2 linked regions of the Schizosaccharomyces pombe genome follow. Changing the gene in region 1 together with any one later gene gives a genetic interaction. Each region holds a gene or a part of one and is shown in the gene's direction. Other genes may lie near its edges. The genes, in order: php4 and fxn1.

Region 1 (4,253 bases):
TTACAATGAAGAGTTAGAGATGAAAAAAGACACAAGTAAGCCTACTGCAAGCACTAAGGAAGTTGTAGTGGAAAAAAAACCCGACGAGTCACGAAAGCAAGCCGCTCGCACGCTTGAGACCGTATCAGAAGAACAAATGGGATCATCCAATGCTAAATCCAAGGTACTAACATCTGAGCCAAAGGACTCTACCTCTGTTGAAGCCGAAAAAACCGAAACTGATGAGCCTGCTGTTGGTAAAGGAGCATCCGATGTGTCTGATACAGCTGAAATTTCTGAGAAAACTGAAGCCAAGAATGCTGATTCGGAAGCCAATTTAGAAGAGAAATCTGACGTTGGGGAAGAAAAGGAGAGTAAGGACGAAAATAACAAAGCTAGTCTTCATAAGGATGTTGAGGAGAAAGATACAAAGATAACAAATGAAGACACTGGTAAAACGGAGACCGATGTCAAAGCCAAGGAGACTGATAGTATAGAGGCCAATGACAAGGATGAAAAGACCGATAGCAAAGAAACTGAGGACAAGGTCGAAGAAACTGAAAGTAAAGAGGCCGATGTCAAGGCTAAGGAGACTGATAGTATAGAGGTCGATGACAAGGAGGAAAAGACCGATAGCAAAGAAACTGCGGACAAAGTCGAACAGACTGACAGTAAGGACACTAACGAGAAGCCTGCGAAGGATGATAATAAAGAGGCAAATGAAAAGGCTGAAAAAGTTGACAGCAAAGATGTTAAGGAAAAGATCGAGGAGGCTGCTGATCTACAAAATTCGGGAAAAGAGACTTAAGGGAAAGAACAACAAGGCACATCATGATAGGTTCAAGAGTTGTAATCAGCTAATGGTACTATATATGCCTTGAGTATTCAGGGTACGAGTAGCTTGAAGATTTAAATTTTGCTATTTTCGGTGTTCCTCAGCTTTACAGTAAATGTTTTAGCGCTGTTTCGATTTTTCTTATAAGTAATGTTTTTTCGAGCTCTTTTGTTTCATATTTTTATAATTGAATTATTAATAATCAATTAAATTTTTCACGACAATCGCAATCCCGTTGATGAATTTGCAAAGTAACTTTAATTTAAGATTGTGCTTGAAGTTTTATCGAAACCATTTGGATAAACTGAGTAGCTAAGTATCCATACATTCACTCCATCCTTGCGTGCATAGCAACCTTTATTCTTTTTACCACTACTGTACATGAGACATATGATGCTTACAAAAAAATGATATTCATTGAGAAGGCACGAAACAACGTGAATTATTAAAACAACGTATTTTAACTACAACAATAACTGAATACAACATAAATCAAACTAAAAAATGATATAAAATATAAAAACTGTACGTAGCATTCGGTCATCACGAGCCATGGCACGAAGCAACGACTTCACGATGGTTTTAAGCTATGCTGTCGGTCTCCCCGACATAATCTATACCGATTCCATGAAGAGGAAAAAGCTGCAACCATTAATACGGTTCTATATTATAACCGCGTTAGAAGAGAGCAGACTTTTTGACATCAGTAATTCATTATTTTGTGAGATGAAGCTTTGTTTTAACTCACTCACATTTCTTATATACTAGGAGTCAAAAAACAGTCACATGTGTTAGTGCACTTTCGTTTCATCTCATTATATCAAAAATATAAACAAATGTTAAATAATCTTCAAAGGACGGTATGACATGAGAAAAGCAGTGAGTCAGAACATTAATTTAACTCCAAAAAAGTAACATGGATAAGCATTACTATGATAGTTGGTGTGCCGAATGATTGTAGTATTACATAGCCAGAGCCCAGAGTTTATTAGGTCGATCGGTTTTAATCAGATGATGTCCACCATACCCGCGTTTTTTAATTGGTTCTGTAACTGAAATGATGGGTATTGAGAATGTATGTCAACAGCGCCTCTAAGCCGACCTGTTCACTAATCCGTTTTTTCCCGAAAATTGAGTCTTTAAAGATATAACGAGGTGTTGCATACCGGGTTAACAGTACAATCATCGAACCACACGGCACTTAGATCAGATATAATTTAATCGTATCTCTTTATCAGATTAAAACAAACCACCAACGACAAACGTTTGAAAAAGTGAGATTTTTAAGCTTGGTCAGTAGAGGCATTGGAGTATTGGAAAATAAAGATTTATATATTTTGCTAAAAGTGTAGTTCTGTACTTGATATCTCCTATCCCCCCAACTTTTTTTTTGCTCATGGAATCGTCTAAAAGTCCATCGGAAGTGGAAAAATCATCTTCTGCTTCTCCAGCACCTCAAAAGCCGATGATTCGCGTCTCTAAACAATGGGTTGTTCCTCCTCGTCCCAAACCAGGAAGGAAACCTGCGTTAGATGCTCTGGGAAGAAGAAAGGCACCTATTAAACCAAGACCTGGGCCGACTTCAGCTTTGTCGGTCGAGGAAGCCAAATTCCGTGTTCGTGAAAAACAATATCAGGATACGATCGGAAAGTTACAGAAGGAGAACAACGAGCTGCTTGAGCAGTTGGAGATGCTGCAGGCTCAGTTGAAGAATTCTACTTTGGATAGCCCCAAGGAAGTCGAAGTAAACTCTGAAGTTGTCAAGCCAGATTCTGCGACTACTGAGAATGAAAACCGTTATGTAAATCAGTACAATTATCCGGTCGAGCCGCCCTGTGCTAAGAATGCCGTTTATACAGAGATTCCCATTGAGCTAGATCCTCATGCCTTCTTGGGTGATTCGGCCAAGAGAATTCGTGTGGATAGTGACAGTAAAGATGCAAAGTCCGTTCCATCCGAAAATGGAAGAATTCGTGTATCTATGTCTCCCCAAAACGAAATTAATTTTACACCTGAAAACCCAGCAGTAATGGAGAAGATACGTAAACGTGGTGTTTGCAATAGTGTAGAAGGATGTTTGTACTCTGGAAGCCCTAAATCTGTTAAACGTGTCCGTGAATCCGAGGAAACCAAGGTTTATGCTCAACTACTTATTGACTTACACAAGTCCTCGAAGTCTGCTCCGATGTTAAAGGCAGGTCCTTCAATCGCCTTCAAACTTCCTACCATGGAACCAAATTTTAACGATGTTCGTCCCGTCACTTCCATATCCTCTTCTTCCTAAGTTTCCCAAAAGTTTTTGTCATCTCTCATCTCCTCTTGTTATTGCATCTCAGCAGCGACTTTTCTGTTTGTAAGTGATCTCCATTACCTTTTTCCATGGTACGGAATTTTTATTTTCGGACTTAATTATCTTGCTTCATACTATTTTATTCGTTGTGCATTTTCGTTCTTTTTGGATTTCTTTCTGTTAATACTAACGTTCACTACTGGTATTTGAACCAATACATTCAGAAATATTACAACATTTTATTTTTCGTGTTCTTGGTATTTGTTTTAAGAGTGTGTTTTTTTTTTACTCACTAGACTGGCTGTACGTCGTAAAGTATGTTTCCTTGACATATTCTAGTCTAGATCGCTTTGTTCATTACATTGCTTCCTTTTCTGTTATATATGTTAATTTCACTATATGTTTTGTTTTTATATATTTTCTGATTTGTATAGAAAAGAATAAATCTTTGTTATATTTTTACTCAAAATGTTCATAGCAAACATTTGACTTTACAAACTGCTAAGCAGTGTTTTTAATAAATTTAATGCTAAAGCCTTCACTGTGTTTATTATGGCTTATGTTTGAAGCTTCGTATTTCCAAATTTAAAAAGTGAATAATCTAACAATGTTAATATGCTAGTCAATTTTTTTTAACAGTGTGGTGTACCACTAGAATTTCTTCGTTTTGCAATTGCCCTGGTTGAAAGAAAACTTGCTAGAGCACCGAAGTTCTTGTGTACGGTAATCTTTTGGTGAGACCAATCCACTTTCGCATTCAAGTAGAAAGAGTTGTAGTGTCCTAAGGATCTTATATGTCTTTCTTTCAGCGTCATAATCAACTCATGGTTTTTTCAATTCAATTCAATCATATAAAATAGGTAAATTGCTAAAATTGATTAATTTCATTTTGTAAATTTGAAGAGGATATAAAACAGTGTGCGCTATTTCCCCTAATGATCATTTAATAAGTAGTTACAATTTTATATGAAATCCAAAATTACATATCGTCAATTACGATTAAAAATCGTTCTTTGTGATGTGCTTACAATTGAGCTTTTATTCATAACTTTTTTTCAAAACAAGTATTATGCATGTTAACTGTAATTGCATCAAAAACTATATTGTGCTGCCAATTTTAACCAAAATCCTATATGACTATCCTGGATG
Region 2 (4,258 bases), on another chromosome or scaffold:
ATTTGAAAAAATGCTTACATAAAGGTTTTCAAATTAATAGTTGTAATATTAAAGCTGCAGACAACGTTTTACACTCTAAAGCGTCTGCCTTTGAAAGTAAGTATATTGAGCGCTGCAAGTCAGACTAACTAATTTATTTTTGTAGAAGTCAACGTTGTGGACAAAGAGTCAATAGGCAACTTACAGCACCATTTGGACACTGTATTACCTAAAAAGAAATTCCAGTTTCTTCGTGATCCGAAGACTAATGACTATAAATGGGATGAATACTTGTCAAAAATCTTGCCAGTTGATAAATTTAATTTTGGCCTTTTAAGTAAGTTTCGTCCTCCTTCCGAAGATGAACAATTACAAAAAGTCGCAAATTCTATCGGTGCTGAATTTGTTGGTTCCACTAGTTCTTTGACTGGCTTAATGTCTCAATTACACTTCTTTATAAGTAAATGGAAATTTCCGAATTTTTCAGATCTGTCAAAAGGATTCTACATTAGTCCAAATGAACGTAACTTTACACGATTATGCCGATCGGCTAGTAGTGTACACATAAGTTATCAAAACGGGCTTTATTGTATAGACAAAGACAAGAGCTTGACCAAAGAACCTTCTGTCAACATCATATTGATGAACGTTGGGAAATCGTTGGAGACTTTTTTTACTGTTGATAAAGACCAGTTCTTGTTATACAAGAAACCTCCCTCTTCAAACGGTGTACTGAAGCCTTTAAAGGATGTCTTTCAGTATGGTCGATGTTCTTCGCTTTTGGTTAGATCTCAACTGGATTGTTACGATAAGAAAATTCCTGAATCTGGCGTCTTTGATTTGAAGACGAGAGCTGTATTTGGGGTTCGTATGAATCAGACACAGCCGGAATTGTTCAAGAGTTATAAACTTACGCATTATTATGGAAACCGAATCTCGTTCGAGCGAGAGTACTTTGATTTAATTAGGTCCGCTTTTATGAAGTATAGTCTGCAAGCCAGACTTGGTTACATGCAAGGAGTTTTCGTTGCATATCATAACACAAGCGATATTTTTGGTTTTCAGTATATACCGCTTGTGGCGATGGACCGAGCAATTCATGGAAGCAGTGAAATAGGCGAAGCGGAATTTAATTTAAATCTTCAATTGTTGGAAAAAATTCTGCAATATGCAACTTCAATTTTCCCTAAACGTTCATTTCGAGTTATGCTTTCTACTACTGAAGACGTACCTAACCCCCCTTTAAAAGTGTACTTAGAAGTAGCAGATGATAAAGAAAACAGGGGGTTTGATTTACTGGATGGTCAGAAAAATCTGGAAGCCAAAACTGTGTCACCTTCCAATTTTTGTGCATTAGAAGTTTGTGCCCTACAATTTGTGAATGGTGTTCACAAGTCTGTTGTCAAACATCTTGATGAAAAGGAAACATGGTCTATTAAATATCACTTTCGAAAACCTCGTGATCAGGATAATTTATTAAGAAATTACATACGGCTGAGAGATGACATAAAAAGACGAGAAAGCAAAATCTCAAATCCACCTGAAAGTTTGTTACACGACTATTACGCTTGTTCCGAACAATATTATAAAAGGAATTGACGATGGTCAAATTATTGAGAAATGATTGTTTTTAACTTAAGTTGATGTGTTACATTTAATGATATAGTTAACTTTATTATTTATTTAGCTTTGTTTAGCTTAAATGGACAACTTTTTGTTAGTGGATTAATTAATTTATTTTCCATTTTCTACTAATTGCAACTCAATTAAGATCATTACCCTTTTATGGATGAGTGTTGAAGCGATGTACCTTAAAGTACAATTGTTCAAACCGTTTAGATATAAATACTTTATTCGAAAAGGACTAAGTCGTTCTGTACAGCATATTTCCCAAAACCCAGAATTCCTTCTTTATGTAAATTCACTTCTTGAGTTTGCGACCGTAATTTGATCCAAGTGCGAACACACGAATTATCCGCTAACTACTCATTGAAGAGTAATTTTGTAATATTTGCAATTAAGAGAATTATTGACATATAATTTTATCGAAAAATATCATTTATTTTCTTTCTTTGTACCTAGCAATTAAGCCTACACCGACAAGAGAGATTGTGAAAGAGCCGTGATATGAAATATGCAGTCTTTGCGAGCAGCCTTTCGCAGACGAACCCCAATTTTTTTGAAGCCTTATGAATTCTCGACTAATGTTTTTGGGCTACGCTGTAGGTATTATTCACAAGTACGGCATAATGGAGCTTTGACGGATCTTGAGTATCATCGAGTTGCAGATGACACCCTTGATGTCTTAAATGATACATTTGAGGATTTATTAGAAGAAGTAGGAAAAAAAGATTATGATATTCAATATGCTGTATGTCAACAGAGTTGCCCAAACATTACAATTAGTCTAGCTGAGTTTGTGTTGAAACGATTCTAACACTAGATTTGCAGAATGGAGTAATTACTCTTATGCTTGGTGAAAAGGGGACTTATGTAATAAATAAGCAGCCTCCTGCTCATCAAATTTGGCTTTCATCCCCAGTAAGGTAGGTACAGTCAGCTATTGCCAAACATGTTTCCTATAGTATCGAGTGCTTAAAGGAAATTTTTAGTCTTAGTATAATTATGACCTTAAGTCCCATTATATTAGACTAGCATCCAAGTTTAGTCTTGTTAGAATCGGTACTAACCTAAAACCAGTGGTCCCAAACATTATGAATATTCTCTCAAATCAAAAACTTGGTGTTCAACCCGTGATGAAGGGACTCTACTAGGAATCTTATCGAGCGAATTCAGTAAATGGTTTTCGCGACCCATTGAGTTCAAAAAGTCCGAAGATTTTTAGAGGTGACCAATATGAAACTTACGATGAGCTTGTCTTAAAAGTTGAACAACAAAATCCCAAATTAAACAAAAAATTACAATTTATTTTATAAAAGTAATTTTACTTACTTCATTAGAAGAGTCTTTGTAAATCTCAGAATCTTAAAAATTTAAAAGTATAGCTCATCACAATGATGATGGTTTGCTCTAAAGGTTTGTGAGCAATCTATTTTGAAATATACTTAAGCTATTAATAAAAGAGATTAGTTACATTTCCATAGCTTCTCTTTTTCTTTCAATCTTCTATCTTAAATCACGCGTTTGTGAAAGAACGCATTTTATTGGAGTTATATAAAATAGTAGCAGGAGCATCAGCGCTAAATCTCTTTACTTCTTGGCCACAGTAACGGTCAAAGGCAACTCCAAGGGAAAATATGTTTCAAGTTTTGCTTGATGAAACATAGTTATATAATATCTAGTTAAATGAGGAAGCTCCTTGCGTGTTTTTTCATCAATAATGGAATTGAAGAATATACGAAGTAAACTTCCAAAAAATAAATCGGCGAGGGTGAAGCGATCCCCTACAAGATATGTACGATCCTTAACAAGTTCGTTGGGAATCTTCAAGCTATCGATTGCTCTGGTGGCAGATTCCTTGAAAGGCTTCTCCTCGTAAGGGATGTTACCACGGAACATACCAACCCAAGGGCGGACATTTTGAGGCGTTACGATGTCAAAGTTAATGAAGCACATCCACTTTAACATCTCAGCTTCTTCAACCTCATTGACAGGACCAAGTCCTTCCTTGTCATTGTGCTTTCCCTTTTCATAGAAATATTTAACAATGGCAATAACTTCAGATAATTCAAAGCCATCAGCACCAATGAAGACAGGGAGCTAGTAATTAATTAGTCAATATTACCCTAAAAAGTTATGCGTAAAATAAGTACGGTGAACGAATATTAGCATGTCACATTTCAAATCAAATGTCGAATTTTAATAATTTGTAAACAGTGTTTTGGCATTTATATGAAGTAAGCCACAATTGGAAACAGACTTGCAAAACGTTATAAAACCCTCCACTTATTAAACCACGGTAAAATCCTACAGATTCCAATACACGACATCCGACTTATATTGCCAAAAATTTTTTTAAATTAAATTTATAATTACATACCTTTTGGAGAGGAAACTTTGCAGCCAAATCTGCAGAGAATTTATGAGGATAAGTCTCAACAAGATCAACTTGGAGATCAAGGAGTTTAGCCAACTCCAAAAGGCAAACAGTTCTCGTATTAGTTTTGAAAGAATATAATGTGCCCAAAAACATGATGATATATTTCGAAAATGAATTGAGGTTGGTTTGTGGAGAGTGAGTCGCTGGCCTGAAAACACATATAGCAACAATATAAATGAGATGAAAGAAGAGAATTCTAGGTTTGTAAAAAATGGACTT

Evidence for each region.
Region 2: of php4 (region 1) and fxn1, a mutation in one rescues a mutant of the other (synthetic rescue), as found in Schizosaccharomyces pombe (one study listed by BioGRID).

Annotation. Positions count from the first base shown.
Region 1 is NC_003423.3:1,914,695-1,918,947, reverse strand, and holds php4 (CCAAT-binding factor complex repressor Php4), read left to right. Parts: upstream 1-2,055; 5' UTR 2,056-2,210; coding exon 2,211-3,098; 3' UTR 3,099-3,573; downstream 3,574-4,253. Other genes in the region: SPOM_SPBC16E9.02C (CUE domain protein ), read left to right, coding at 1-787. UniProt on the Schizosaccharomyces pombe protein: Component of the transcription regulatory CCAAT-binding complex. Required for the reprogramming of the cell for iron use. Down-regulates pcl1, sdh4, and isa1 underlow-iron conditions.
Region 2 is NC_003421.2:594,934-599,191, reverse strand, and holds fxn1 (frataxin), read left to right. Parts: upstream 1-1,933; 5' UTR 1,934-2,113; coding exon 2,114-2,350; exon of another isoform or gene 2,351-2,430; coding exon 2,431-2,525; exon of another isoform or gene 2,526-2,679; coding exon 2,680-2,824; 3' UTR 2,825-3,189; coding exon of another isoform or gene 3,190-3,699; 3' UTR 3,700-3,741; downstream 3,742-4,258. Other genes in the region: RNA metabolism pathway protein Pet127, read left to right, coding at 1-96, 146-1,578; SPOM_SPCC1183.02 (glutathione S-transferase), read right to left, coding at 3,190-3,699, 3,980-4,132.